Oreochromis niloticus: one gene and its partner. The protein of the gene in region 2 binds, or shares a complex with, the protein of the main gene of each other region. Links are inferred from orthologs where the notes say so. Each region holds a gene or a part of one and is shown on either strand. Other genes may lie near its edges.

Region 1 (15,432 bases), on a different chromosome or scaffold from region 2:
AACCTTCAGGATCATTTAAACAAAAAAAATAAAATAAAAATGACTATCTTACTGCGTCCCACCTCAGCACGGATGGCACGCAGCGAAATACCCCCGCTTATGCAGTTTAACAACCCAACCACATTCAAAAAGGGAACTTTCTTCGCCTTTGCCATCAGAACGTCATGACAGTGTGACTACCTGACAGAAAATGACAATGAATCCACATTTTTGCACAAATTTGGCCTTAAAGGCATGTGGTCTTAAACTTTTGAAGGCTGTAAAACAGCCTTTTTTCAGTTCAAGCATTGTTTTCAATAATCTGCATGCTCAAAAAAACGTTTTTCTCACTCCCATTTCTTCTTGTTTCACATTGAAACTACTTGGAACGTTTTTAACCCAAACATGCAAAATATGACTTTTTTGCCATTTTTCAAGTGATCTTAAACTTTTGATTGGGACTGTATGACTCAAGCATCAAGGCTTTCCATTTGATAAGGATGGTAATCAACAACTGTTTAACGACAACCATCACAAACGCTCACAATTAATTTACAGATTTTTGATTTTTTTTTTTTTTTTATATCCAATTGTGTCAAAATCATATCAGCTCAACAACGTAAAATTAACAACATTACATATATGAAAAGATTAAACATTGGGTTTTACATTTCTTGCAACAAAGCTATTTTTTTTAATGTTTCTCTTATGGATTTCTTCCTGAATATGAGCCACATGAGTAAATGTGTGAATCATGTTATCAGCAGTTCAGGCTCTCTTATCCCATTGTTACCACATGGCTTGAGGTCAATGCCTGGCAGTCACTGTCATGGAGTCTTTGCATAACTTAAATTTTTTTTAAAGTGCTGGTTGCTTGACAATAAACAATGTCAATATTTATTACAACATTACAGATCTGTCTTTGTAAAGTACATAGCAAAGTTTTCACCAGAAGGTCAGTCCATGAGGGTTTAGTCATTCGTGTACAGGAGTAAATACGTCATCACAAAAGACAAATATTGTGTAAGATTGAGGGAAAATGTGTAAGCTGTAAATCGCACCACACCCATAAATGAGACGAATGAGCACTCTCTCAGACCCGCTGTCACAAGGACAAATACAGAAAAATAATTCTTACCTCATACCACATATTTTGATTTTTCTGTATTATTCCCTAGTCTGTTATATTTAGAGTTTTTTTCATTAAACCCTTTTTACTTTTTTGAGCTACTTTGCCTTGTTATACATTTATTTTATTGAGCCAATATACTTTATTTGAGCTTTGTTGTTAAAAGTTGTATTTAATGTGCTGGCTGATGTAACTAGGGATGCACCGATACCGATACTGGTATCGGGTATCGGTGCCGATACTGTAAAATGTGTGCGTACTCGTACTCGTAAAAGTTAACCGATACCATGAACCGATACTCATAATTCCCATGGACTTAAACGCCACGGTAACATAAGGTGTTCACAGTTGATGTTATGTGATGTAACTCTACCCTGAATATAATTTGCCCTGTAATATGTCGCAAGGTAAATACAGGTAATTAGAGCAATCAAACTGTTACGTTAATCATAAAAGTATTATTTTATGGTATGTAACTCTGAAGGGAGTTAAAATATTTTTCAGAGTTCTAATTTTCTGGAGGCCTGTGAAGGTAGCATAAAACGGGACCTTGCATGGGGAGATGCACGAGGTTAGCTGAACCAAAGTGAGAGACTCGGCTAGTTTTACTGAGGTTAACTAGCACAAAAGAGTGTGTGACTAGAAAGCTGACCGTGTGAGAGCTTCACAACAGAGTGTGGGTGAAGTGACTTTTTGTTTCAATGGTCGCACCACCGTGCTGTGTTTCCAGCTACGACCGCCGAGGCTACAGGCTAGCCCGGACTGCTTGGCTGCGCCTTGGAGGCAGCCGCTATGGACTGTCGGAGAGCTGGACAGTGACTCGCTAACGCGCTGTAGCAGAGACAGCATCGGGTCCGCAGGGAGTGGATTTAGTGTGGGACTGGTGAACGGCGACCTACCGATCAGCTGAACTGTAAGTCAGACTTTTGTGCTCTTACTGGGGAGAAGAGGATTTTTCTCCATCGTCCGGCGTGAGCAACAAACAGGCCTGCAACAAGTGTGAATGTGAGTGTGTGTGGGGCCCATGTGTGAATATTGTATGTTTAGTGGATTTATATAACGTGTTTTGGAGTGTATATTAGTGAGTCACTTACCAAAAGGTGATAACATAAGTTGGGTTGTTTAATATAATTTGAAAGGGAATTATGTCATTTATACAGTGTATTTCATTTGGTTAAGGAATTGGAATATCATTTGAGTTTAAAAAAGGGATGTGTTGTACAGTATTTGTCTCTGCCCTTACGTTCAGTAAACGTTTCGTTTGTGTTAAAGAGTTGTGTGGGGTCGTTTCTTTACTACTGGTTAAGTTTAACTTGTGTGTGGTAGAAGTATCGGTTTTTGTACTCGGTATCGGCAAGTACTCAGATCCAAGTATCGGTATCGGATCGGTTTGAAAAAATTGGTATCGTTGCATCCCTAGATGTAACATAGCAATTTCCCAACTTTTGGGATAAAATATTTCTTATATGAATAATACATAAAGCCTGACAGTCTAATAAGCAAATTCCTATTTAAAAAGGTCATGTCTGCTAGAATAACATTAATAATAACCCTAAATGTTCTTGTGTGAGCTATAGAAATTAGCCAACTAACAGTACTGCCTTGTTTGTGTTTTCACAGACAGCTGTGGTCAAAACTTTCCACACGCTCATCGTGGGAATGAATATCACGGTAATGTTGGGATATTAATTATGTACTTTAATTTTTTATTTTTTTTGGGGGGGGGGGGGCTAGGCTAATATGAGTGTAAAGCAAACATTTCATAACTTTGAAAAACAAGAATTGTGTGCAGAACTTTTTTCCAATACACAAAGGATCAAAATTATACATATTCACATATATAGTGGTCGTAGCAACATGCTCTGGGGCTGTTTTGCTGCCAGCAGTACTGGCAGGTACATTGCACAAAGTGGATAAAACAATAAATAAGGTCTACCTCCAAATTTTTCCAACTTCAGCAAAACTGGACATAACTGAGTGTTCCAAACACACATCAAAACTTGTTTTAGAATGGTTAAAGTAGGCTAGCATTAGGTTTCTGGATTGACCTCGCCAATGCCCCAGCCTCACTACTATTGAAAATTTGTAGACTACATGTAAAATTCAGGTCTGTGCCAGGAAACCAACCGATTTTAATGAACTCTATCGAATGTGCCAAGAAGAGTGATTAAATATACATCCAGAATTATGCCACAAGCTTGTTGATGGCTCCCAAAAGCATCTGATTAAGGTACAACTTGCTAAGGGACATTTAACCAAATATTAGTGGGGATACGTATTTATTTGAGAGTGCATGTATACTTTTTAAACATGTTTGAATTTGAGTAAATCCAAAATAAACTCCAACTTGTGCAATTTTTAAGTAATTAAAGATATATGCTGTACAATCAATACAAAGACATTGCCAAACAGTACAAGTGCATCATGGTAAGACTGTGTCATGGCAACAACCAGCACCGAATTCCTGTGTGGATGCAGTAGGTCTGTATGGTCTTTTTTTAAAACAACGCTGACCTTGCAGAAGCACAGCCTCTTCAACGTGCTCCAGCTCCCAACTGAATACACCAGATCTCAACTACTGTCAAAGCTCAAACCACAGTTATTACCCAGCAATGTGCAGTAACTGTCAGCTTCCATTCCTATTTGTGCTAAAGCTGTACACAAAACCTGATGTAAAACCTTACCAAACAGCCCGAACAGGAAGCAAGACTAGAAGAACTTATTAAAAGTTTAGCAACACGTTCAAATTAATATAAGAAAGCAAAAGAGATGAAGTTTTGGTCTAGGCTTGTGCCAGGTCTCCAGTGTTGCACAGCAGGAAAGGAGGCCCTGCGCCTATTGAGTGCCTGACCTCAGAGGACAGCCAAGCACTCAGCTCCAACAGCCCACAGTTACAGCTGTGCTTTCTGCACAAAACTGTTTTTCACATAAAATCTTAAATCCTTCAAGCACGTAAGCTGGAAAGTGTTTACATTCCTGTCAATATGTACATAGGGGTAATTTTACTTTGTGCTTTATGATGAGGAAATATATGGCAGACTGTTTTTCGTGCAGTTGTCACAAAATGATCTGAAATCACTGTAAATGCTGTCATGTCTATGAAGCACCTGCTGGGTTTTTGTTGGCTCAAAATGGTCATTTTGCTGGGATTACTACACATACAAGAATGACTGGTCCTCATATAACTGAGGCAAGGAGTCTGTGTTACCTGACTTTAGAGGAGTCTGCACATTTGATTTTTTTTAAAAAGTGTATTTTAAGCTTTAGTACATTAAACAGCACCTACAAAAAAATGCTTATTTGCAGAAAAAAACCCTTAGATCAGAGAAACAAAGGAGGCTAAGGCAAGCCAGATTACATTAATTTCATGACACACAGTTGCTATTTTTGACAGCTGTACCTTCACCCTTTGATACCAAGAACTTTCCATTACGATCTAACAGAGTTTACAGTATAACCCAAGTAAACTACAAGTGTGTCACAGAAGCCACAAGCAAGGTAGACATTAACAGTACAGCTGTTCTGGTGGCAGCTGCTGAACAGGACTTTGTCATCTTTGCTCAAGAAATGTCCCAGCGAAGCCAAAGTTCGAAGTTCCTCTTCGGTCACATCTAGGGAGGCCCACTATAAACAAGCTGATAACACTGGGTGGGCAAGTTCCTTTGCATTTCACACTGTCATGTCCCCCATGTGAGATGACAGCACATTGTTTGTGTACACTTTTTCCTCCGGCTTCATAAATTCCCAGGGAAAGCCTTCAGTTACAGCTTCCTCTCCATTGTTGCACTGTTTCAACAGCACCCATCCCATTCCTACAATGTGGGCAAAGACCCAAAAAACATAATCTCACGGCTTAAAGCTGGTGCACTAGTCTGGATTGAAATAAATCTCTTCTTTTTGTTTTTAGTCACAGATATTAAAAGTATGCAGGGGGACTAATTTCTCATCCCAGTGCAGTGACAAACTGTCAGTTCGAGTGACAGCTTGACTCCAACTCCAACACAGTGCTGCTTTATCCCCAGAAGGAGCGAGTTTTGTGGAGCACGCCAGCTTCGTGGCACATTACAAACACCTGAAGAGTGTCGCTAGATGGCTAGACTTGTTGTTTTACATGTGACTGGGGTTTAAGTCGAACAGCTAGAAAGAAGCTACCAGGCAAAACCTAGAGGCTACAACAGAAACCTGACATTAGCATAAAACAACACATGTCACCACGCCTATAGTTAGACACAAAATTAGTTAATAGTAATAAACACCTGGTTGTTAAAAGGTCACACATCTGCGTGACACCAACAGCTTCATTGGGAGCCCAGCTGCCAGGAAAACAAACGTTCAAAGCGGTCTCTTACTGGCACAAGGAACCCCACGGCATTTCATTTCACGTACTTACCAGATAATCCATGTACTATCGCTGACCAGTCACCGCAGCACAAACTGGCTCTGTAGTAATTCCGTTTTTTGTTTTCTGTTTTCTTCAGTTAGTCGAAAATGTTACGGATTTTCACCGTAGGTCGCTTCGTATCCCCCGCCTTTCTACAGTCAAAGCAAAATAAAAACCAGCCCTTTTCGGAGGGTTTACAGGCAGAATGTAGCCGCCTTCTTCGCCACTGAACCAACTTTCAGTGCAGTAGAGTCTCCGGTTGTTTCAGAAGACGAGGGTCGCCGGGTTGGTGAGTGTATTTCTCAACAAACAGCTCCTTCTTTCACCGGCGGACTTCCAGTTTTTATCACACAATATCAGTTGAGTGTTTGGTTGAGGAAACTGTTACGAAGCCTCCACGCTACGTCACGCACGTCGTTTTGCGCACGCAACGCGGTCACATGACCAAACACATGGGTCGTCTATTTTCACTGTGAGGCTGAATGTCGCTAAGTTGGCCTTTTGTTTCTTTATTATTATTTAATTTTAAGTAGATTTCAAAGATGATTTCTGTTTATGTTTTCACTCCGAATCATATGATTTAATAGTAAATAATCCCCTGACACTGAAGATGAATAGATTTTCTCACATCCTAATCTGCGTTACAGATTAGTCCTTACACGCCAAAGTAAGGACTATGGACTATACAGAGAGATATAGATTATTAAATCATTATGTAACATTAAACATTTGGCTCACATGTCCTTTTCAAAGGAAGAGGACAATTCTGGCAGCATCGAGCATGGAATATTAATGTCATGTCAACTGGAATAAAAAAACATCCTGTACTTATTTACATCAAGGGCGTAGATTTGGTTTTGGCATTGGTGGGGACGGATGATTCAACCACCGAACCCTGCCCTGTTCCCCCCCCCCCCCCCTTTTTGTCTTTGCTTCTTGATAAAAAGATGGAGAGATATACTTGTCTACATATGCTATTCTACATGCTTTTAAACCATTTAAAATTACAATTCATAGTTTTATATGTGAATTATAAAATGTTAAATTACTATTAAACAAATGACTAAGTATTTTAGACTTTAGTTTACTTCAGCCATATTCCATATAAATCAGGTATCATACAAAAATAAAAACAGCTTCAAATACAGTCATGACAATAAAAGAATATGACTTTAAGGACTTAAGAACATTACTTCAGTTATAGTACACCAACATCTCTGATACATTAGCACTAAGGGAACACTGAATGACCTGGTGGTTTTTGTCCATAAAACTACTCATCTAAGATTACCACAAAATTATTATTATGTGCTTGATGTGCCTCACCTTTGGCCCTGGCTCTTCCCTTCTGACTGCACTAGGACATATTGCCACTTGATAAAATAACACATTGATTCGTGCCATATAAAAAGTGAGACTTGTCAATTCAGATTCTTTGTCAAATGTACACTAATGAATCAATTTACATCAGCAGCCTAACAATTGTCATGATAATAAATACTAGTTAATCTATAGCACCAAATCATCAGTCAGTCACCTGTGACCTCGCCTCTTCACCTCTGTCCGAGCTACAACATGGCAGAGCTGCCTCGGTCACCTGATAAATAACAGTGAGACATTCCAAATACATGCAGTCACACATGTGCTTCAAATACAGTAATGAACCACCAAGTCATCATCCAATTTCACCTGTGATCTTGTATCGCCATTGCTCTCTGAGCTTTGTGTTGGTTCTTCTGTCACCTGACAAATAGGACATCCATGACAATAAGAATAAAATGTGCAGCTGCTTCAGTGTTTCTGTCAATTTGTGCAGATCTTGACTCATCAGTAATGTTTGTAGGGTGAGTGCATTTTTAAAACAATTTGTGCAAACTGCACTACAAGGTGGAATATTTGCAAAATCATGACTACCTCATGATATATTGTCTCAAAAATCAACCCTATGAATATGTCAGTACCATTAGGATGAAATTACTGTGTCACCAACATTTTAACATTAGATATAATTTTAACAGCCTCTGTAAACTAATATCCTGGCTTGCTCGAGGCTGCCGTTTTCTCTGACACTTTCAATCAAAATTAGAAATGCTACTCTGGGAGACTGAGATAACTAATAGTGCTGCCTGCTGTGCAGTTAGTTTCCAAAACACGTTATTCATGGTTACATACAATTTTAGACTGATGTGGGCCAAAGCCGGGCATAGCCTGTAACGTTATTATGACGGACACATTTTATGAGTGAGCTTGACTTTAAGTGACTTACAGGTTTCTTTGAAAAATACTTTCTTATATCCAGGTTCTTCCTTTTTGCTGCCATCCTCCTCTCCTCCTTGCAGGTCCTCGCAGCGCAGGCTTGCCGCTGCTAAAACTAAACAGAGCTCCCTGAAAGGCACAGCCAATCACATTGGCCATATTTGTCACATGAGGTAGGACTCCAGTAGCGAACGTAATTTAAATCTTTCTGCACAGCTGGGTGAATGAGACGTTGACAAATCGTTGTTTTTTTTCTCTCTTTCTATCGGGTTTGTTTTTCTTTACTCGAAGAGATCAAATTATTTGTGGGGACAATTCAATAATCGCTGGATATTGGTGGGGACATGTCCCTTCCGTCCATGCCAAATCTACGCCCTTGATTTACATTCAACCAGATTACTGGTGTTCACGCAGATCTAACACATCTTTCAGCTTCAGCTGCAGTTTTCTACAATGTTATCGAGCTTTCGAGCAGACTAAAACAAACTCTGTCATAATATAGCACACTATGCATAATGAATGAGAAGAGATCACATGATAAGCATACATCGGAGTGAAAGACTGGTTCCTAAACGTGGCTATTAATCCGAAGAAGGTGGTTAGAAGAAAGAATGCATATGCAGGTGCATAACAGCTTTCACGCAAAGGAAATCGAACTTAAGATCAAGAAGCCTCAGCTACCACTATGGCACCCTCCAGAACTATGCAAATATGGTTTCATCTCATCACCTTCCCCCAAAAGACTGCAAAGAAAACTATCCGTGGGCAAAAGTAGTAAGAACTATCTAGAGCAAAGCACGATTACAGCTCACGCAATGCAGTTATGTTATATCAATGTAAATTAAAAGTCTGCTTATATGATGGAAGCTGAATACTGTAGTTATTTATATCTCTGGAGACCACATCCTTCTTCAATATTTAATGTGATGTGCTATTAAGGAACCCTCCCTGAAGTCAGTAAAGTAAGGTGAAATGGATGTCCCGTGGACAAGTCTGTAAGTTGTGGAAAAGTGGTAAGAAGAGTCCAAAGGAAAACATTGCTTTTGATCTCATCTGCAGAGAATTTCAAACACGTGTAAACGTATACGTGTCTACTAATGTTCTTTTTTTCTGGAATCCTGGCTCACGCAAATGTCAGTGGAGAGACCCCTGGTGGCCTGTAGGTATATAGTGGTTGAGATAACACAGCACCAGAAGTAAAGACCTTCAGGGCTTCCAAGGACACCTATCCATATCCACATCCAGGAGAGAAGCCCAGAATCACAAACCTTACATGGCTCAAAGCAGACTTACTCTACTACCTGAGCTCAGAGTGACCAAAAATCTAAATGTTGAACAAGCACTGCTTGTGAAGGACAATATGGAACAAGTCCGAGTTTTGAGTTCTCATTTTAAAATAAAAATACAACAAACTGGGGAGGGTATTAGATTTCCATACCTTATGTGAGGCTTATGTGTCAATTTTAGTGATTTTTAGCCACTTATGACAGACATGTACTGTCAGTTCACACCATATTTTCTTATCGACCCATGCATGCATGCATCCATCTCTTTTCTCAAAATTTTAAAAACATTCTAGAAAAAGGCAAGAAAACTCTGTGCCAGATGAACCAAACGCTGATTTGGTTCATCTGGATGTTGTGTTTTCAGTGAAAAGGTGAAAAAGTAAATGCTGGCATTTTATTTTCTTTCTGGTAAATGCCATCATATTCATCAGCATCTGCAAAGCTTGTGGATTGGGTGACTGTTTTGATGGATATAACATCAGACATGATATCTTTCACTTGAATGTAATTTAAAAAATCTTTTCCTGCTTTCTTCACATGCTTTGGGTAACTGTCAGACTTTAGAAAAGTGTCCTGCAGAGGCAGTCCAAATATGAGGCACAGAGTCAAAATGTGGGAAAGAAGAGCAAGTGATAAAAATGCTGTGTAGTCCCACATAAACCAGGGCGTATGATTAACTTACTGTACCTTAAACTACAAAAACCTCTATAATTTGTTTTATTATAAGGCCATTCACTAAAATTGTATTCCTTTCATTTCATGTTGAGTGAATTAAAAAGTGACTGAGTTGTGACACAAATGCACACTTTAAAAAACATTCCCTTATTTTTGCCACTTATTATTAAGAACCCCCCCGATGTTTAGTCGTTTTCATTGATGTTATTTGTACAAATAGCACTTTGGGTAATGTAAAGAATTCACAAGCTTTCACTGAGAAACAAAACAAGAAAAAGCCACTTGGGGGCAGTGTCTACCAAGTAAAGTGGATTTAAGGACGTCCTTGTGCAGTGCACCTCTTTCCCAAGGAAATGCTTACCTGCTGTATGTAACACCATTTAAACAAAGCTTTTCAGCTTTTATTCAATTTTGAATCGATAAACAGTATTTGGGCTGGAAAGTGGAGCGACCACCTGTAACAATTTTCTGATACTAGAAATATAAGTTCAATAATCGCGTTATTAATCATCAGAATAATTGATAATGGAGTCCTGTTTAGTCTCTCCCACACTTATTGTCTATGTGTCCTTTATAGGTGGCTATGTTGAAGCATGCAGGGTTATCAGTGGAGAAAACAGAGGAAATTTTACCATTTATGTCTCGGTTAAATTATCCAAAGACTTATTGTATTTTTTGTAGTTTATTAACTTATAAGTTAGACATTAAACTGACTTAAAATACACATAAGTAGTTTCCCCATTCAGCCTTTAACTGAAAGTATGAGTGTTTAGAATGCGAACAAAGTCAGGATGATATCAGTATTTTGCTGGCATTACTTTTGACTGAGAAACCACCGAAATCCGATCCCGACTTCTAATCTGATATCCGGACATCATTTGCGGTCTTATCTCAGACTAGCGAGTCTTGTTGTGTGTAAATATTTGCCATTTGCTTTGATAAGTCTGTAAAATTTTAAGCACTGGAAAAATTCAATGACTCCTCGGTTTGTTCTCGATTGTAGCTACTATTAATGACAGTGAAGTTAATTCCTCAAAATTTTGAGAAACAAGTAAACCTTATAGTTTTGCTGGGAACAATTTGTATTTACAATCACTGACAATAAGATACAGCTTAAGCTGTATGCCATAAAAACATGAAAAACTAAGACTCCTGCTGTGTTTTCATATACAGAAATGGATCAAAGTTTTTATGAAATGTAAATTGATGCAGGAGAATGACCCCTTTCTTCTTCGTGCCCTTGCGCTGCACTGTTAATTAGTAACTAGAGTCAACATCATCAACAGTCAGGCCTTTAAAAAAAAATGTACCTGGTTAAAGTTTTCACAGGTTAATCATTATGTATAATCTTAATTTGAAGTAATTATGCAGTGAAGTAGCTCTGGGATTTGATGCCTTTAATAGACATTACATTACCTGGAATTTGTAGACTGCATTTAAAGCGTTATAACTGTATGAAACGCCTCTTATTCACTAACACAATATGTAAAACTCCTGACTGTGACCTCAGCACATACTTTAAGCCTTAAATCATGTGCTGAGGCATCATCTTATCAGCTGTTATGTCTCTGCCGTTGCTCCCCGCAGGCGCATCGGTTTGTTTCCGATTGGAATCAATCAGTCATCGAGTCTAGAGAAACTCGCAGCGCTCACGGCCGGTTGATTTGTGTCGTCTGGGCGGATCGCGGCGTGCTGTTGCTCCGCCCTCGATTATTCAGCCTGGTTGACGTGCGGTTGCTGCGCAGCTTGTGAAGACAGAAGCGTACGACAGGGATCGGAGGGTGACTGCTGGAGCACAGATTAGTGTTGTTGTGGAGAGGGGAGAAAAAACATTAATTCAGGTTCGCACGCTGCAGGATTACAAACATCCCAGTGCTTTTTTGCCAACACAGAGGACCACTCTGAGAGCATCTGCTTGAAGACGCCGTTGTAGAAGTTTGTGCTCGGAGTTTTGAGAGTAGTTACTGTTGGGCTGACCGAGCTAGCCCGGCTGCCCGCTGTGCCTTCCTCTGTCCCGGCCAGCCAGCCGTAAGTGAGCCCGCTGTCCTGCTCTCCTTCCAGCTGTGGTGAATCATGGCGCTCAGAGCCAGAGCGCTGTACGACTTCAACTCTGAAAACCCCGGAGAGGTGTCCGTGAAGGAGAATGAGATCCTGACTGTGTACAGCGAAAAGGACATCGAGGGCTGGTTCGAAGGGGTGAACAGCAAAGGGGAAAGGGGACTGTTCCCCGCTTCGTACGTGGAGATCCTGCGGAACGATGCCGCCTCCACCACTGTCAACAACAACAGCTGCAACACATCTGGGGACGCTAACCCGGACTTTAGATACGCCAACATCCCATCCGGAGGTTTTGACGGCTCTTATAAACCTAAAGTTGAGAACTTTTCTAAACCATCTCCTCCTGGTTTCCCCGCTTTCTCACAACCGCTACAGCAGCAGCAGCAGCAGCACGGCTACCAGCAGCCCAGCCAAGGCAGCGATGATGACTGGGATGATGATTGGGATGACAGCTCTACTGTGGCAGATGAGCCAGGTACTGTAGGAGGACGGTACCATGACTATGAAGGGAATGGACCGTCCACTTACAGAGTGACGACATCATCAGTGCCACGAGGTAACGCTCAGCAAGCCAAGAGCTCTGCTACAGTGAGCAGGAACCTGAACAGGTTCTCGACCTTTGTGAAGTCAGGGGGAGAGGCGTTTGTGCTCGGAGAGGCGTCCGGCTTTGTGAAGGATGGGGATAAAATCTGCGTGGTGATGGGTAATTATGGTCCAGAGTGGCAAGAGAACCCTTACCCATTCAACTGTGCAATTGATGACCCCACTAAACAGACCAAGTTCAAGGGCATGAAAAGCTACATTTCCTATAAGCTGACACCCACCCACACACAGAACCCGGTGAACAGGAGGTATAAGCACTTTGACTGGCTGTATGCTCGGCTAGTGGAGAAGTTTCCCGTAATCTCGGTGCCACACATTCCAGAGAAGCAGGCCACGGGGCGCTTTGAGGAGGATTTTATCTCCAAGAGGAGGAAAGGCCTCATATGGTGGATGAACCACATGACCAGTCATCCTGTCCTGGCCAGGTGTGATGTTTTCCAGCACTTCCTCACGTGCAACAGCGCAGACGAGAAGGCCTGGAAGCAGGGGAAGAGGAAGGCAGAGAAGGACGAGATGGTCGGAGCCAACTTTTTCCTCACCATCAGCCCTCCGCCAGTTCCGTTAGACTTCCAGGAGGTGGAGAGCAAAATAGATGGATTCAAGACTTTTACTAAAAGAATGGACGACAGCACCTTGCAGCTCAATGCCACCGTCAGTGAGTTTGCGCGAAAGCAGATCAGTGGCTTCAAGAAGGAGTATCAAAAAGTAGGGATGTCATTTAAGGTCCTCAGTCAAGCCTTTGAAATCGACCAGCAGGTGTATTCTGCAGGACTCAACCAGGCAATCTCCTTCACCGGGGACACATTCGAAACCATCGGAGAATATTTCGCCGAGCAGCCCAACAAGGATCTCGACCCGATCATGGATTTGTTAGCTCTTTACCAAGGACATCTGGCAAACTACCCAGACATCATCCATGTCCAGAAAGGTAACCACAGTCATACACATTTACTAGATTTGTCCCCTCTGAGGAGCCTCAGTAGTCGGCTATTTTTCTTTACGTCTTTGGATTCTTGAGACATCAGAAGGGAATTATGATGATGATTATAATTAAATTCTATGCAGTAAGCATAAAGACCAAACTGAACTACAAAGGCAGAAAACTATCAGATACACACAATTCAAATTCAGAAGAACAGTAGAGGCCAAAATATTCAAATGTTTCATAATCCCAGTGAGCCACCCCATTTAAACTCACCACATATACACTTAAAGTAAAGCAATATGGCAACTGTGGGATCAATAAGACTTTAGTTTCAACCACAGGTTTGTCTGAGGTTTCAAAGTAGAGAAATAAGCATGTTTTCTTGCTGTGACAAGATAAACAGGGTAATTTTGTCTGAGGCATAGCTGCTCTTGTTAAACTGCAGTCAGGTTACTACACAGGCTGTGGCACTTTGCAAAACAAATAGCCGTTGTTTGCGTTTGGAAATTGGCTTACATGCTGCTGCCTCTGTTTGTCCCACCTGTTGAAATGATTGGGTGGAACTGTTCAGCCTATGTTTGAGTTTCCATTGCTGGTGAAGCATCACGTGTTAGCGGATGGAGAGAATGTCCTTCCAAGGTGAAGCCTCGTCAGTCTTTGCACAGATTAAGTAAATTGTTAGACTAATCTAGGCCATCCTCCTACAGTACCCTGGCCCAGCAATTGTTCATTGTGTGGCAAAATGTCACTCATGAGAGGATACACTGTTATACAAAAGGAACTGTGGAACTGCTCTCACAACCGCTGCCATATATGCAGTACAGTTAATGCAAGAGAAAAACAAAAAGCAAACCACACCTTTGGTCTGTAGGTCATACCTGACAGACTGCTTTCTGCCTTTGTAGTTACAAACTGAAAGTCCTGCCTCAAACAGTGCAATGTGGGACATGACAGAGGACATGAGCCAGTATGCACTCGCAGACTAATGCTTCTCATTCAAAGTATTTGTGCACAATCCCACTAAAAACATGTTACTTGTGCTTAATTGATAAGATAAAATTTTACAAAAGATGCTAAAAATGGCATTTTGCCAGTGCCACTGCCTGTGCCCCCAAAACCACTGGGTCCTTTCACTCCACAGTCGATGACAGAGAGTGAGGAAACAGGATGGATTGTGTAGTGGCTGCAGTGGGTTACAAACGTCACAGTCACTTCAAATCAAGATCACCACGTAGGCCACATACAGCTCCAAATAAGGCGACAGCCATTCACACAGTCTGGTGTGATAAGCCCAGCCCAATTCCAGAGATAAGATATTTGGAAGACCTTGCTGCAGGCACAATGTTGAGAAAAGATCAAGGAGTAGTACAAACACACAACGGCAGACGAAAAATAAAGCTGAAGGAAAAGATGCGATATGCAGGAGATTAAAGGAAGAGCATACTGAATCTAAAATTGCTTTGATCTCATCTTGTTCCTTTATTCTGAGTCCAGTTGAGCCAGTTTTTTGGGTTTTTTTCCCATATGAGCTTTCATTTCCTTGTAATTATTCTTTAAGCCAATAATCGATTTCAAACAAAACTACAAGTCTATTCCAGCTTATCAAACCTATTAGAGGCTGTAAACATTTATAATCCTACAAAGAAGAACAGTTGACATACTTACAGTGCATCCAGTATTTCCAAACATATGCTTGTTTATGACACCTGAATTGAAGCCTGTCACTCAGACTGCCTGAGGAGCATTAAATGCAAATATCTACTGCAAAGGTATTCATGCAGGTATCATCATATTCAGCCTGCAGTATATATTTATGATGTCTACTCACTTCAGTGTCTTTTATAATTTTCCATCATTTGACAACTGCTACTGCTGCAGTAAAACACTATAATTAAAAAGTTAAAAATATCTATCTATCTATCTATCTATCTATCTATCTATCTATCTATCTATCTATCTATCTATCGATACACACACACACACACACACACACACACACACACATACAAAACTGAGCGCTTAGGTTTCACTGTCATATCGCTGTTTGAAGACACAGCTGTGGGGCTGGGAATGTAAAGGTACACCAGCCACATACGTGCTCATCAGTAATACTCTTTAATAATGAGCGTTATTTTTCAAT
Region 2 (15,976 bases):
GCGTGCCTTATCTAAGCCATCAACTACGCATGCAGACCTTTAAGTAAGTATAATAGGATAAGTATTACAAGTATAATAGAAATAGCTACTCAGCCATGGTGTCTCCAGCATACTAGCTCATATGACCACAGATTAGCCACAGATAGACATTTTTATTTACATCAACTCTTTATTCAGGTTTACTAGATAGAATTTAGTTCTTTCATCAGCCAGAAAATACAAAGTCTGGCATCATTTTAAGACCATAAATGATATCCCTGAAAAGATGATGTGAGTACTTTTGCAGTTTATTCATTAACCTCAAAGACAGCTTATCATGTAAAACATGTAAGTATATACATGTAAGTTTTCAGTGGGCCTGGTCAGTCCCACTCACATTAGATAATCATGCTGCATCCTGGTTACCTCAGCATATGAAGATTACCAATGCTTTTTCAGGTGTTGTCGGCACGTGGCCTTTAAAGGGTAGTTATTAAATAATTCTCCGTAATGTAGTACTGTGCTTACTATATATAAACTCTACTTTCTCAAAAACTCAAACAATTTTCTGGTATTCCCAAATGATTAAGTTAATAAATGACTTGTCTGGTTCAATCAGCAACAATAAGTGAACTAAGCGCATGAATTAACGGCAACTAGTGAACTAGAAAAATCCTTTGTCAGGTGCTGTCTTAATAAAAAGAAAAGCAATGAAAATTTCATCGTGACGGATTACCCAATGTGCTTTCAATAGGCTTCTCCAAAACTACGTCCAGAGCCGGAAAATCTGGCGGCAGTGAGTTATTCATCGCTTTTAGTAAACGGGCTAAAACACGCATTAACAACTTGTGTGGGCCTTTAAACTGAGTCACAGACAAGAAGTTACCAAACAACAGGTTACTACAACAGAGGTTTTCTGGCTTCTTTCTCAAAGACGTCCTAAAAGGGTTGCAGAAACAGAGGAATATGTTTACAACAAGTGAATAATTTTTGTTCTTATAAACCATGCAGACAGGTGCCTGAACAAATAAGCAGAAATCACAAGTGATATGATTATAAAAAGATAAGTGTTTAAATAATAAACAAATTTGTATATAAATTAACACACTATGTTACGCGGGAGGTAACACGTACTTGCAACACTCAAATGCAGAGTGTTTTTTTAATGATATTACATTCCACTCGAGAGAAAATCTGCAGCCAATGCCGTCTTCTGTAATACCAAGTATAGTGAAATGCAGACAACCTTTGATTCGAGGTAATTACTTCTGATAAAGTGAGCGGCTGGCAGAAGAAGTCACGCTGAGTTCAAAGGGGTGTCCCTCATCAGGAAACATTAAGTGTTCTTACCAACATGATGTCATTTAATCCCAACACTTGATGCAGCGTTAAAAACCAAGGGTTACCAGGCAAACAATCCATCACGCTTTTTAGACATTTGCTATGATATGCTCCACACAAACCCCCAGAAAGAATAAAAACATTAAAAAACGCAACACACACAAACTGCTGTCAGTATTTCAACAAGGCCCGAAAGAGAAAAAATGAGTTTCACTTTAAGACAAAGTCCTGAGCAAAGAGCCTGCGAAGGCTGCTGAATCTGAATTAAGCATAGATTGGCCTATATTGCAGCAATTAGGGAACTAGTTCAAGTCGTGCCAGTTCTCATGTAGGTTCTTTTACACTGGGGACTTTTACTCTAAAACAGTGAAGAATACAGTGTAGTCTGGGCTAAGAAACAGTGGTTGAATTGAAAAGACCACGGTGGAATGAACTTTTAGTCATTTAACAGCAGAAAAGGTTTGCAGATGAGTGCTGTGCTGTGAAAGCAGAATGTGCCAGGGAATCATTTCTGCATAATAACTTGTAGGCATGACTAAACAGTATGCACGTGAAATAATATATTTATCACCAGCACGCAGAAGAATAACCACATCAATCACACACGCAATTTGAAAATAGAAGATAAGACAAAGTGACTCTAAGTGCCCGTGCATCTGATGCTGTACGAGTGGCCCGGCTTCCCCAGAATCAGAAAGCAGAGTGGTGTAGAGGAACATGTGTGCATAACCTGATTTGAGCTCTCATGCCTACGGTAAATCCATTCCTCCTCTCAAAAAGCTTGGAACACTGCATGTGAAGGAGTGACTAACTTGCACTTTCAGGAATATCGCACATAACTGGAAGCCAGAAGGGTAGCTAAATTCTTGTTTTTGCCCCAGCTACTTGGTTTTGTCCCAAAAGGCACTCACTGACCCACTCATTAACGGGTAAACCTGCAGCTTGACAAGAAACCCCCAGATGACAGTAATTGTTGCAGTCGCAGATGGAGAGCAATTAATGAAGGGGTCAGAAGTTTCCAGAAGTGTGTCTGCCTGCATTAAACACCTCCTGTATGAATCTCACTGTAACCCTTGACCTAGGACAATGATGGAGCTGGGTAAAACATAAGCAGGGTCACACACATTGATTATGGTGGCTTTCAAGTAAAATGAACACTTCTGAGAATGTTTTAAAATCATAACGAAGAGTAGAATCAGCATCACAGTGAATTATGTAATGCTGCACAGTCTGAAATCCTCTCTTACAAATCCACAACTGTGAAGAGGAACCAACTTATGAAAAAAGTTCTGATCCAATGCAAAGCAGCACCATCTGCTCTAACACAGTCTCTACCGTGAGCAGCATGTTTTGGGACTGTTTCTTTTTTTTTTGTAACCGACTCCAAACGACTATGCAGCTCCGCAAGCGGCATCAAATTAATTAACAATGACTTACAATACAAAGCACTTTGAACTGAGTGTGTGCTGTGAACAGAGCCAGATTGACGGGAAACTTTGACCCCACAGCCCTCCCTACAGTAGTTGCTTATGACTTGCCTCCCTTGAATTCCCCTCTGGTGCACTGCCAGCAGCACAGACGCTATACCCTCCAGAGCTGAGTGTTTATGATTAAGTATGCAGGTGTAATGATGCGAAAACTTAATGTATTCGTCTTTTAGTGGGAGTATGTGAACAGAATTCACAAATTGCCACTAACTACTGCAAACAGATACACCCGGTTACCCATTTACAAACATATCTTAGATGAATGGAGCTGAATTATTTAAAGCATCATTATGCAACAAGACACTCTCTCTGCTAACAGGCAAAATACTTCTACAGAGAAAAACTTCACATTATTTTATTAATTGTCTCTCGTTTTTTGAGTATATCAAACCAAAGTATGTCACGGCTGCTTAGGCAGCAGCTTTTATTTAAACATAAACTCAGTATTAGGTATATAGAAAGTATTTGGATGCTGTGGACAGAAAATGAACCGATGCTCCGGGATATTTAATGAGGTGCATGTAGATGTTTTAAACTCCGAACAGATCTACAGCTTGTGCACAAATTGAGGAATGACTCCAAAGCAAACTAAGCATGAGTGGAAAAGTGGCACAGTGGTTATGACTATCGCCTCACAGCAAGAGGGTCCTGAGTTTGAGACTGTCAACTGCCTGGCATCTTTTTTGTTTGGTATGTGGATGTTGTCCCTGTGCCTGTGTGGTATCGCTCCATTCACATTAGGCTAATTAGTGATTCTAAATTGCCTGGAAGCATAAGCGGCTGTCCTTTTCTCTCTGTGATAGATGGGTGACCAGTCAAGGTTGTACCCCACCTCTTATCCCATGACAGCTGGGAAAAGCTCCAGCCCTGCATGCCCCTGAACTGGATAAGGAGTTAAGAAAGTGGATAGATAGAAAAATATCCATCTAATTAAAAAGAGCAGAAAACTGTTTGTTTCAGTTTATTGTTTTTTGTCAAAACAAATTGTGCAGGAGTGTAATTATTAATCACTAAATGTCCATCAGAGCATGGAACATTTTCCTTCCTTAAGAAGAAAATGTCACTACCTTACAAAAATAAACACTTCACACAAGTTTGAAATATGGTGACTAGTGAATCAACAACCCAATTATTTTCTTCAAAACAGTTTCCAGTTAATGTTCTGCAATATTACTTATCAGTGAAGTGACTTGTGGATTCAGCGCCATTGTGTAGCACACACATGCACAGGAACACAGGTAAACACAAACATAAAAACATTCACTAAATGGTTGTAAAACACAAAATCTTAGTCATCAGATGTCTACTACAATCACAACAGATATATGCAATAATAAAAAGAAATTGCAAATATTTGCTGATCTTAGTATTCTGATAATATAACAGGATGGTGAACTTTCTCTGTTTACTCGGAAAACTGGTGCATGTCCGTGACTAGTCAGCTGTGATGAAAATAAATAAACAAACACCCCCCTCCCCAAATAGTATATTATGTAATGCTAATTTGGCAGAGGAACTACACCTAATTTCTGGTAATGGAGCTTGCTGATTTGTTCTGTTTTTCCTCCCAATTAATCCTCTTAAAATAAAGCAAATATTCTAATAAGCGCACAACAGTCATGTTTTTTTCCCCACAGTTTTAAGAGTTCGTAAATCAGCTGCTGACAGGTGTGTCTGTGTATGCATCAGTCCAGTCCAGCACCAAATCTACAAACACTTTCCAGGAATAACTTAGTCAGAAGCAACAACAGTTAGGGGGTTGGCTATGCAAAACATCAGATAAACCGTGGGTGAGGTAAACATCTTTCTCAAACACCATGCGCATACAAATACACACAGCACATGGGGGGCTTGAGGGTGTTAGAGGCTGTTATTCATTATCCACACGACTGCATTCCAGGATTGGACAAAAAAAAAAGAGTTATCGCCACCATCACTCTGAAGCAAGCGCATGAGAGGCAGACAGGGATTTAAGCAGGTTCTCAAACAAGATGCCCCCACCTGATAACCTCAGCACTGCCGTTGCACTATTCCCACATGTCCTAATGCATTTACAAATGAGAGAGAGGGAGAGATGAAAGGAAGGGGAAAGTGTGAAAAAGGTTGAATAGGAGGAGGGCAAGGCATGAGGAGGAAAAGCAGGAGGAGAGAGAGAGTGTGAACATTAACACTTAATGGAAGTGATGGAGAATGATAAGGACACCTGCTTCTCCGCTTTACAGGAAGTGACCTGTGAAGATCTGGCAACTACACCTGTGGCAGATTCAGTGTTGTCTGAGGGGAAAAGAACCTTTGCTGCTATCCTCCCCCATCTCTTTTCCCTCCAGTACAAGAAATTTATTGAGGAATTCCTTCTTTTTATTGCTCAATATCTGATTTTAGACATTTGACCTATAGATACACCACATGCACTCAGTGTTGAAAGGTCAAAACTGTGACTCCTTGCATCATAAACTATTACATAACTCATGTATCTACCTTGCCTTATCCAACAAAGAGGGTGGTCATGTGAAAGACCAGCCTAGAACAGACATCAACCTTTAACACATTCCAGGTGTCAAAGGTTGATGCAAAACTCTTACCTTTTTTAAACTCCTCCAGCATTGCGTCAAGCTTGGTGTCATTGAACACAAAATGCAACGGGTGGCTGTAAAACTTTGTGATGGTTTTGAGCGGAGTGCAATCATCCGGGTCCACGAAGGCCAGGTCCTTGACGAAGAGCAGATCCACTATATTGGACCTCTCGCCCTCGAAAACGGGGATGCGCGTGTAGCCGCTCTTCATGATCTCGGACATGGTATTGAAGTCCAGCGTTGCATCCCCAGGAATCATGAAGCAATCCCTCAGCGGCGTCATCACGTCCTCTACAGTCTTAGTCCTGAGCTCCAGCGCGCCCTGGATGATGTTCAGCTCCTCTTTCACCAGATCGTTGTAGGGGTCCGTAACGCGCAGCATCTCCAGAAGCTTCTCTCTGTTGTACACGGTTCCTATCTCCTGTCCGAGCAGGTAGTCCAACAGCTTACTGACTGGGTAGGACGCAGGGAAGGTAAGCAGCATGAAGAACTTGGTGAGGAATATGGTGTTGGCTCCCACAGCGAGGCCGTGCCTGGAGCAGATGGCCTGTGGCACGATTTCCCCAAAAATGACTATACCGATGGTGGACATGACAACAGCAATCAAGCCCGAACCGGCGATATCATCCAGCAAGATGGTTAGCGTGGTGTTCACTAACACGTTCCCGAGCAGAAGAGAGCACAGCAAATAATTCCCTTGGCTCCTGACCGGCTCTATTTTTTTGGCGTAATTCTTCTCCCTTTCCGTGCCGCAGTTCTGGACTATCTGGAGCTCCATGGGGTCCAGAGCCATGAGCCCCAGGTTCAGCCCGCTGAACATACCGGACAGGCAAAGCAACATGGAGATGAAGATGACCTGGAGCCAGAAAGGCAGCAGAAACTTTTTCTCCTCCACCACTATCACTTTGGTGTCATCCCCATCGTGGTAGATCCAGGTGTTCTCCGTCCGCGGGTCGTGCATCCCGGCCACGGCTGGTGTCGAGGTGGCGATGCAAAGGTAATACGTTTTACTCCTCTCCGTCTTTCGCAGAGGTTTGACCTCAATTTCAACTATACCGGATGTCTTTCGATTCAGGATGATGTAGGGCAATATCATTATATCCGAAGTCCTAAAACCACAGGGATGCAAGCCGGACGAGTCCTCCTGGCTCTGGTTATCCCCCGAGGAGCTGTCAATGCTCCCAACCGCCCGGCTCCGCTCATGTTCCGTGAAAGCAATTTTGGACCAGGTCTCGTTGTTGATGTTCTGCCCGTACACTCTTAATTTTACCCGAGAGCGCTCACTCACCCGCAGGTAGCCCTTATCCATGAAGGAAATGTCGTCCGTGTCCTCCAGTCGGAGCCCTATGATGACGGTCTCCTCGGACCCTTCCTTGCCACTTGTCGGGGTGACACAGCAGCCAGTGACAGTTAAGAAAATCATCGCCAAAGCTCGGACCCGGTTAAGTGACGCCATTTTTGCAGCGGTGGGTGCTTGGGATAACGGTTCTGCCATATTGATAACAACTGGCAACCAACCTCCTGAATGAAAAGGGCTTTTAAAAATCAGAGCCAGTCGGAGTCCGCCTTCATCTCCGCCCAGGGTTGCCGTGACTTGTGCATCAGGACCTGCTCGTTCCCACTACGTGTCCGACACTGATGACTCGCGAGCGCAGGCTTACGGGCCAACTCGTGCCTCCCCTGGTGTCCCCGATACAGGCGACGGCGACGACCAATCGGGAGGTTCCGCTGGCCGGGAGGCGGGGCGTCCGCAGCCTCCTTGGCGAATCAAATTCCAAAACAAGTGCACCTCATGTTAGGAGACAGGACTTTACTCGTGACTTCTTAAAACATATCATGCTAGAAAAGACAACCACAATAAGCAGTTTAAATGTCAAAAAAAGGCATGTGCAAAGATTAAAGGTTAACTAAAATAAATACTACAACATGTTTTATCTATATAGAGACTATCATAGGTTGTGACAAGTTAATTTGGTTTTTTGCTATCGCATTGCATCATCCTGCATGCTGAAACTCCGAAGCACTATCTATATCATGTCTTATTTTAATGATAGGTATTACAGGGGATAGTAATATGTTCATAGACTGCCTAACTTAAAGAGGTTAAAGTTGTCAAAACCAGAAAACACACACATACATGTACGTCATTGAGATGTGTAATACAAAAAACAATTTCTTTAACACAATTACTTCTTATTGGCCTATTTATCTTTTCCTCCTTTAAACTTAAAATGAAACTAAAATGAGAGATCCTGACCACCATGGCTTGAACTGGTGCCCTTAATCACAGCTTTTCCCAAATACAAATGTGCATTTGTACCTTTGGAAATAATGCACTACATCATAGGAGCAAAGATGAAAATAGAAGAGTCATTTCGTTAATTATTATTTATTGTGTTTTATCAGAAATAACACATAACCATCACAATAACGGGAGATAATTTGTACACTTTGGTTGAAGCACATCTTAAAGCCAGTCTGCAAAATAATTAAGCACCGATTTACTAAAACACAGGTTTTAAGGTAAGTAAAAAGTATTGTGTGAATAAACAATGTCAGTTTTATGGGTAAGAAAATAATTAGACTAAGTAGGCATATGACAAAATGAGGCACAAATGAAGAAGGTGCTCTTCTTAATACTGCTCATGGTTGTTAAAAGGTTTTAAATTTGTTGCATTTTTATTTAACCTTACTATAAAGTTTTCCTTTTATCTATACCATATAATTATGTTAATGAATTGTTACCATATTGAATCCTTTCATAAAATATTAACTGGGAGCACTTGCAGAACCCTTAAATCCCTCAAAGTGATATTGTTATCTTGTTTGCGCAAGATAATTTATAGCCTAGGTACTCAACATGTGGCCTGTGGGCCAGTGTCAGACTTCAAAAATGTTATGTGGCTTCTAATCACCCTTGATTCAACAACAGCTCAGTCAAAACCATTGTATAGTACCAGTGAAAACTGGAAGCAGGGAGCATATCTCTCCAATTTTAACTCTTTTTTTGACATTATGGCAAAATAAACCACCCTAACCTTAATTTAAAAACATTAAAAAAAAAAATAGTTGGTGCAATTTAACAATCACCTCACTAATGGTTAGCAGCAGATACCAACATGAACCACCACAATCTGATAAGACACAAAGTCAAACTAAAATTGTTTGATGTGAGATTTTTTTTCCTATGGCCCTGAATCATATGCTGGCTCCTTAAATTGGCTCATATGCACTTTAAGCAACTTCAAATACAAACACTTTGATTACACAATAAAACATTTTAAAGTCATCAGCAGAACTCATGTCCTTCACATAGTCATGCAGTATGTGAAGCAAATGATGGCTTTGTGTAATTGCAATGCAGGGTGTTCCAAAGTGAAACTAAAACTGGATTAGCTGAGTTGTCTCCATTATACACTGGGTAGGTGAAGTTGTTTGAGCAACCAGTATCAACCAGTAACATGATTATGTTTAATTAAAATGAATTAATTAATGGAAGTTCACCAAACATGTAGGCATTATTGGTAGGCAGGAAGCTGAGCCTGTTTCTTTGTGCTCTTCCCACCATCACTTGCAGCAGCCAGCAGACTGTGTGCTGCAGCATCCCCCAGTGGCTGATGCAGGGCCTTGCACACCCAACATCAGGGCCAGCTCAAAAGGGTCCTCAATGCCAGCCTGTATGAATAATTGAGCCAAGCAGAAGCATTAAAAGAACAAGCACCCAGTTACATGTATGTATCATGTAATATTTGTGTTTCATCCCAAATCACTGTAAGCAAGGTCAAAAAATTGAAGAAGTAAATCCAGGTACTATTATGGTATATTACAACAGAACACTGGCTCTTCTAGATGAAGTCTTTTTATGGCCCTGTGCTTCTTTTATCAGTTGCTGGTTGTTCATTAAGTCACAATTTCAAAGCAGCTGTTCTTTCCATGAATAAGACCAAAGGCTTTTTTATTACTATTATCAGCACACTGCTGTAGTGATTAGAGAAAACTCTTTCAGACAAGACTTCAATTCAGGGGGCAGTTCAAAATGTTAATAATGAGGTGGATTTTGATAAGCCTTTACCATTTTAATTTACTTCTATTTCCAATATCAGAAGAGAAAAAATCTTTAATGAGTGGTTAACAAGTTAGAGTACTCATTTTAAAAAAAATGTAAAGCGGTGCTGTTAGAGGTGTATGTGCATAAAATGATTGTAAGCCCTGATAAAATGGTATTCTATTAGCTGAGTGTAGAACATTCCTTCTTGTTCAAGGTTCCCCAGCATGACTCCACAGTCTGGTTATGAGTCCAAGACAGCTGCTTGACCTTGCGCTTGTGCATGTGTGTATGTATGTTTGAGGGGTACGTGAACGTCCAAGAATGTACAGCATGCAGAAGCACATGCATGTGTGTTTGTGAGCGCAGTTTGACAGAGGCGCTCTGCCCTCTGGGCGTGTCACACAAATTGATACCAGAAACACACTGACCCCTAATGTGTAAAAGAGACATCCAAGAATTTAAACACAACACTGACCTTAGGTTTGACTCCACAGGGCCCAGTGGGGCCCCCCAGTGGCTGAAAAGTGAAGTCCTCTGCAAATCTGGAATGTGTCAGTATGTTGGCCACCTCTCCATCCACCTCCACAACTTCATTGGCCTACAAAATACATCCAAATCTGAAATCATTTGCATAGTTTAAGTGAGCAGAAAGCATTACGTTCTTCTAATTCAGAATATACAGACCTTGAAGGTGTACTGACAGTCAAACTGGAAACTATCCTCTGCCCCTGTCATGCCCCCATTATATATGACTTTGCAGTTCTTGGTGTTCCCTTTGGGGACCTTAAACAAGCGGTATGTGGCAGAAACAAACTTGAAGTTGCCTGTATTAAACACACCAGATTGAAATTAAAAAATAAATAAATAAATTTCAGGTCATACACGAAGGTTAGCAGCTCTCAAAATCTAAAATAACTTGGAATCATGTAATGTTACATTAGTTGTAACTATAGCTACATAAATATAGGTTAGGAGAAAACCAGCAGTGACATTATAGTGCAGGCTAACTTAGTACTGTTTATTTGTAGGGTTAATCTATAAAATGTTCTTCTTTAAGTAGTTGTGCAAAAGGATTCTCTGATAGCATCATTCATGTCGATTGTGCCTGTGTGTACAACTGACATGAATGTCACTGGATATTTACTCATTTCCGGAGCTCTGTAAACTCCAAAGATGGCTGTTTGGGAAAATCCCAGTAGATCAGCAATTTCTGAAATAATCATACCAGCTTATCTGGCACTAACAACCACGCCACATTCAAAGTTACCTAAATGACCTTTTTCCCCCCATTCTGATACTTGGTTTGAACTTCAGCAGGTCATCATGACCATGTCGACATGCCTATGTGCACCGAGCTGTGTTCATGTGATTTGCTGACTAGATATTTGCATTAAAAAGCAGCTGAACAGATGTACCTAACAAAGTGGCTGTTGAGTGTAATTCTGTATCAAGCAAATAATGCAAAAGTCAAGCAAGTAAAAAAGCTGTCAAACCAAGAATGTCCTGCAGTTCCTTGTTGTCAACAGTGATGACACTGGCCGTAACCAGCCGTGGGGGGCTGAAGCCCACTTTTTCAGCCAATTGCAGGAGATCCTTCCACCAGAGTGCTCCAGCAAGGCACTCACCTGCAAAGATAAAACCGACTGTGATATTCTGGTGGGTGCTTGTCAATTTATGGCAGTAGAATATTAATTAGACGCACCCCATAACACTTTGTGATTTTTAATTTCCTCTGTTAGTCTTCCATTGCTGTAAATGTCACTGAAGTACAGCTCACCACCATCCTAATGAGGAAAAATGAGAAAGTGTATGTAAATGTGTAAATATTTTCTTTGCTCTCATAGCTTTATGATTGAAGATTTAATAACAATATTAAAAAAATGAGAAGCAGTGTACCTTAAGTACTTTGTAAGCTTCAGTCAGTACCATCCTCTTGTCTGGAGAAAGATTCACTACACAGTTGGAGCTAAGCAAAAGGAGATGATGTTCGAAACTGTTATTCTATGATTATATTAAGTTAGAACTGCACACAAATAAGGATTAGTAAGACACCTTACATGATAACATCGAACGAGTCATTTTCCAGACCTGCCTCGGTCAAGGCTTCGATGTAGCCTTGGACAAAATTTATATTTGGCTTCTTGTAACCAAACTCTTTCATGTGATGGTCCACATAGGTCCTGGCCAACTCAAGCTGGAATTTAAAAAAAAAGGCATTTATCAGAATTTATCACTATCACTCACTAGGTCCAAAAATCTTTGGTTGTATTTAAGCCATGCATGCATATAAAACAGAGTTTTGTCTTTACAAATTAAGAAGATGAAAAGTTTTCACTTATAAGATTTTACCAGCCTTCAATAAAGTTTTGGAGTTACATTCAATATCATTTAGCCATCAACTGGGATCCACTGATTAATCATAAGGCCAGTACAGCGATACAAATGTTCAATACCTGGCCGTCAGTCATGTCAATACCAGTGACATGGCCCTTCTCACCCACAAGCTGACTCAACATATAGCAGTCCCTCCCACTTCCACTGCCCAAGTCTAGTATCCTGCAGCCCTCTAAGCATTCTGGCACAACCAAACCACAGCCATAGTACCTGTGGAAGACAAAAACATATCAGGTTCACTGATTTTGAAGTGTGACTAGAAGAACAGAGAGGTCAGCAACCCACTAACCTAGCAGTGATTTCAGGGTGTACTTTCTTTAGTGCCTGGCGAATGAAGTCAGGGGTGGGCTGCACTGGAGCCACGCAGGCATTGGTCTTTAGGTCTGAGGTTTGCTTCAGCCTCTTGCCATAATAATCCTGTTTTGACAAAGAAACCTTGGTAACAGTAGCCCCTCATTATGAAGCAGGTTTGTATAATTCAGCAAAGGGGAGTTAAGAAAAGATAAAGGTCTAAAAATGTGAGACTAATACGAAAACCCTCAGTGTATTTACTAGTTACAAAACGTTTGCTTCAGACTATTTATTTATAAATAAACAGTTTGTTTGCTCCCGTTGTCTCAGGAACATTAATAAAATCCTTCAGGACCCATCTCACCATGATGATGCACTGTTTGAACATCTACCTTCAGGCAGACGTTTCAGAACCATAAAGATATGACCTAATAGACTAAGGAACTTAGTCTGTTAAGCTTTTATCCCTCAGCCATCAACATGCTGAACACTACTAAATTATGGACATCCAGATTCAATACAACTTACATAAACAATGTTTACATTGTTACAAGATGATCTCATGTTTACAATTGCAGTTACCCTTGGTATTTAAGTTAACACCAGCAAATTGGGAGAAGCACAATATGGAAACAATTGTGTTGTTGTTGTTGTTGTTGTTGTTTGTTTTATATATCCCTTGTGTTTTCCTTGGGTCATTTTTGTCCCCTGAGGACCACAGGTGTATGGAAATCGGGAGGACAATTTGTTTAGTATGTAAAAGATGGATGAAGGCACTGTGATGTCATCCAGTGGTCTTTGGACTGTTTGTTTTATGGAGATAAATGTTTAATCTCAGTTTGCTGAGATTAAACATTTATCTCCCTCATAATGTCCTCCCGATTTCCATACACCTGTGGTCCTCAGGGACAAAAATGACCCAAAGACAACACAAGGGACATATATATATATATTCTAATTTTTATTCTCCTTTTGCACTGAGATAATTGCTATAATGGCAATACAGACTGTGATTCTGATGTACAGTATGTCAATGTCTGCATTTTTAAGGGTGCACAAAGGATAGGCTGAGAAAAACTGTTTGCATGACACACAAGGTTTTACTGTCTGACTTTGAGGCTGCACTGGAAACTGACCATACAAGTAATGGAACAAAACTGCTGGACAGACACGTTAATAAGCACAACTACGGCTAACATGGATTTATTTTTAAATGACAGATGATCTGTACAAACAGATCATTTACTCATCAGGGGGAAGATCCTGTTTAATTCTGTTTTAACAGATACATAAATACTGCAAAGAGGCTAACAACACTGTCAGGAGCAGTACCACTACCGACTGGTGTTATTTTACCTTCACGTCCACGTGAATGGTGCTATCAGAGAATGCCTTTGGACACGTACTTAAAAAAAGAAAAAAGAAAATATGAGTTACACATTAGCCCTCCAAATACACGTTAGTAAGTTAGCCTACGCTAAGTCACTGCTAGTTCACTGGTGACTTAGAGTGATGTAGCTATAGTTACAACTAAGGTCACGTAACAAGATTACAAGTATTTTAGTCTTTAACTTGACACCTTATGACTACCGTTTCTTTAAAAATAACCGTGTACGTATCATTGATCATAACAACATTAAAGGTGAAGATTCAACCTGCCACACGTCACTCGCTGAATTCAGAACAGCTACAGCTTGAAACTGGATAAAGCACAAGGATTAGGCTGTTTTTACCTCTTTCCAGGGTCCATGGTCACATTACGTGCGCTTTCCAAGTTCGCTTTAAAGAGGAAAATCTCAGTGTGCTGTCAAGTTTTCTTACTTTGGACCAATGACTGTAGCTTTGAACCAACACTGTGCGTTTCACTTCCTGTTTTACCAGCACGCCCCCTACCTGCCTCGCTGGCTAACGTCACAGCAGCAATGTGTTGCTGTATTAACTAAATGCATTTAATTTAATTTAATAGAAACAAGGCTATCAATTTCACGGGGATTTCCAAGAGGAAGCATGGGGCACTCCCACCAATCATTCAGCTGAATAATAATACATAAATTATTAAAACTGGGTGTTACAGAATATAATAATATAATATTAGATTTATAATATTGCTTTCTTGTTAAATGGTAAGGTGCCTTCCAAATGTGGTCAGTGATGGTTTATCAGTTCACAATAAAAACAGCTGTCCACCTGCAAGTAAGCAGTTTTTCATTATATGTGGCAAAAGTGCCACAGCTTCAAACTGGAAGATACACAGCATCATAGGTGCATAGCCCTTTCTGGAAGGCTACTGAAAGTCAAATTCTGACAAAGTTAGACAACCTTTTGGGAAAATAGTAAGGAGTGCTTGTGATATTGTGCAAAATCCCAGTTACATGTGTATGGGATTTTGCTTAGCCTTGTGACAGCCTGGTGACATCTCCAGGATGGACCCTGCCTTTCACCCAATGACAGCTGGGATGAAATCCAATCAGCTAGTCAGTGGCTGATTAGCGGCATTTGTTAGGATCCTTAACCTCTGCAATAACATCACTCACTCAGTAGAACCACTCTGAAATTAAGTCACGGACACAGTGATCGACTACAATTAAGCATTTTTATTGAACATACATCCATCTTAGTTGTCATAATAAATGGCTTATGTCAAGAAGTGCAAAACCACACACACTTATGAAGAAAGAAAAATGTCTTTGGCGAGATGCCCCTGATCTTGTTAACAAATTATCTACTGTACTGTTAGTCAAACGTACCCTTCACACAACTTCAGTTTGAGTCTCAGAAGAACTTTAGTCTTTCTCAACAAAAAATCAATAATACCCACAAGAAGAAAAAAAAAAAGAATCTGTCCATAATGATAAAGCTAATGATTTCATAAAAACGATTAAAGCAACTATTTGGTTCATGAACATGTTACAGAATGTTGTACATGATTTGTAATATAAAGTGGTTTTGACATTTTATACAGTTCCGTTATTTTTTCAAAGAATCAGACAATATGAAAAATAGCTCATCTTTCGACTACATGTACCACAATTACACAATGACATCTTCTAGCTTGCGGAAAGCATTAACGGATAAAGCACTTTCGAGTGTGTTCGGGTTTTGATGGGCAAAAGTCAATCAGCTTAACTGTTTATGCAGAAAGTTACTTTCCTTTTGTGCTGGAAATTCTGGGAAACAATTTTCTCCTAGAGCCGTAAAACTAACGGCTGAAACATTTGTGCTTTGCAGAATTGCAATTTGTGCATCTTTTCAGCTACTCCAAGTAGATTAATTGCATGGCATAATGGTGTAGTCTCATCAGTTGTGGCCACTTTAAGAGATTAGACACAGATTTCTTTGTCGAGGTTTATTTGTGTTTATCATCTATGGCATGCCACTAGAAGCTCAGGCTAGATTGTCAGCATTAAAAACTCCTAAAATAATTTGAACTGACAACTATATTTTTTCCCCTCTACCACATGGTCTTTGTTTTGTAACAGCAGTGCAGCATTATACATATTGTACCATGCTGTACCATAATAGTCTCATAAAGATCGTGTTGTGCAATCGATTGTTTTTAAAATATTCTGATATTAATAACAACCAATTACTTATTACCTTATGCTTATTTCTAATAAGAAACTAATCTAATCTGCCCACTAATCTTTTTTTTTTTTTTGACTGCTTATCCAACTATGGTTACAGGGTTACTGGAGCCTGTCCCATCAGACATTATGTACATCCTGGACAGGTCTCCAAACTCACACTTGGGGCCAGTTCAGAAATGTAAAGTTACCAAAGATGGAAACTGAAGCACCACACAAGCTCAGCAAGAACATGCAAACAGAGAAAGGCAGGTTCGAACTGCTCTGTCGGGTTAAATA

Evidence for each region.
Region 1: the proteins of cnnm2b (region 2) and ADP-ribosylation factor-like protein 15 are in contact, whole or in part, in a crystal structure (PDB 8F6D), measured with the Homo sapiens proteins. The link is inferred for Oreochromis niloticus from reciprocal best matches to the Homo sapiens genes CNNM2 and ARL15. Residues at the interface, in NP_060119.3 of Homo sapiens: Asn490, Val492, Pro521, Leu522, His523, Phe524, Val525, Phe526, Thr529, Glu537, Lys542, Ser543, Gln549; in NP_061960.1 of Homo sapiens: Tyr92, Ser94, Arg95, Gln98, Gln128, His129, Pro130, Gln131, Cys133.

Annotation. Positions count from the first base shown.
Region 1 is NC_031977.2:26,526,687-26,542,118, forward strand, and holds the start of ADP-ribosylation factor-like protein 15, read right to left. Parts: upstream 5,921-15,432; 5' UTR 5,511-5,920; coding exon 5,499-5,510; intron 1-5,498. Other genes in the region: snx18a (sorting nexin-18a), read left to right, coding at 11,780-13,295.
Region 2 is NC_031971.2:33,158,647-33,174,622, reverse strand, and holds the start of cnnm2b (metal transporter CNNM2), read right to left. Parts: upstream 7,220-15,976; 5' UTR 6,876-7,219; coding exon 5,390-6,875; intron 1-5,389. Other genes in the region: as3mt (arsenite methyltransferase), read right to left, coding at 8,948-9,055, 9,904-10,026, 10,113-10,252, 10,922-11,053, 11,131-11,212, 11,325-11,394, 11,486-11,622, 11,882-12,032 and 3 more.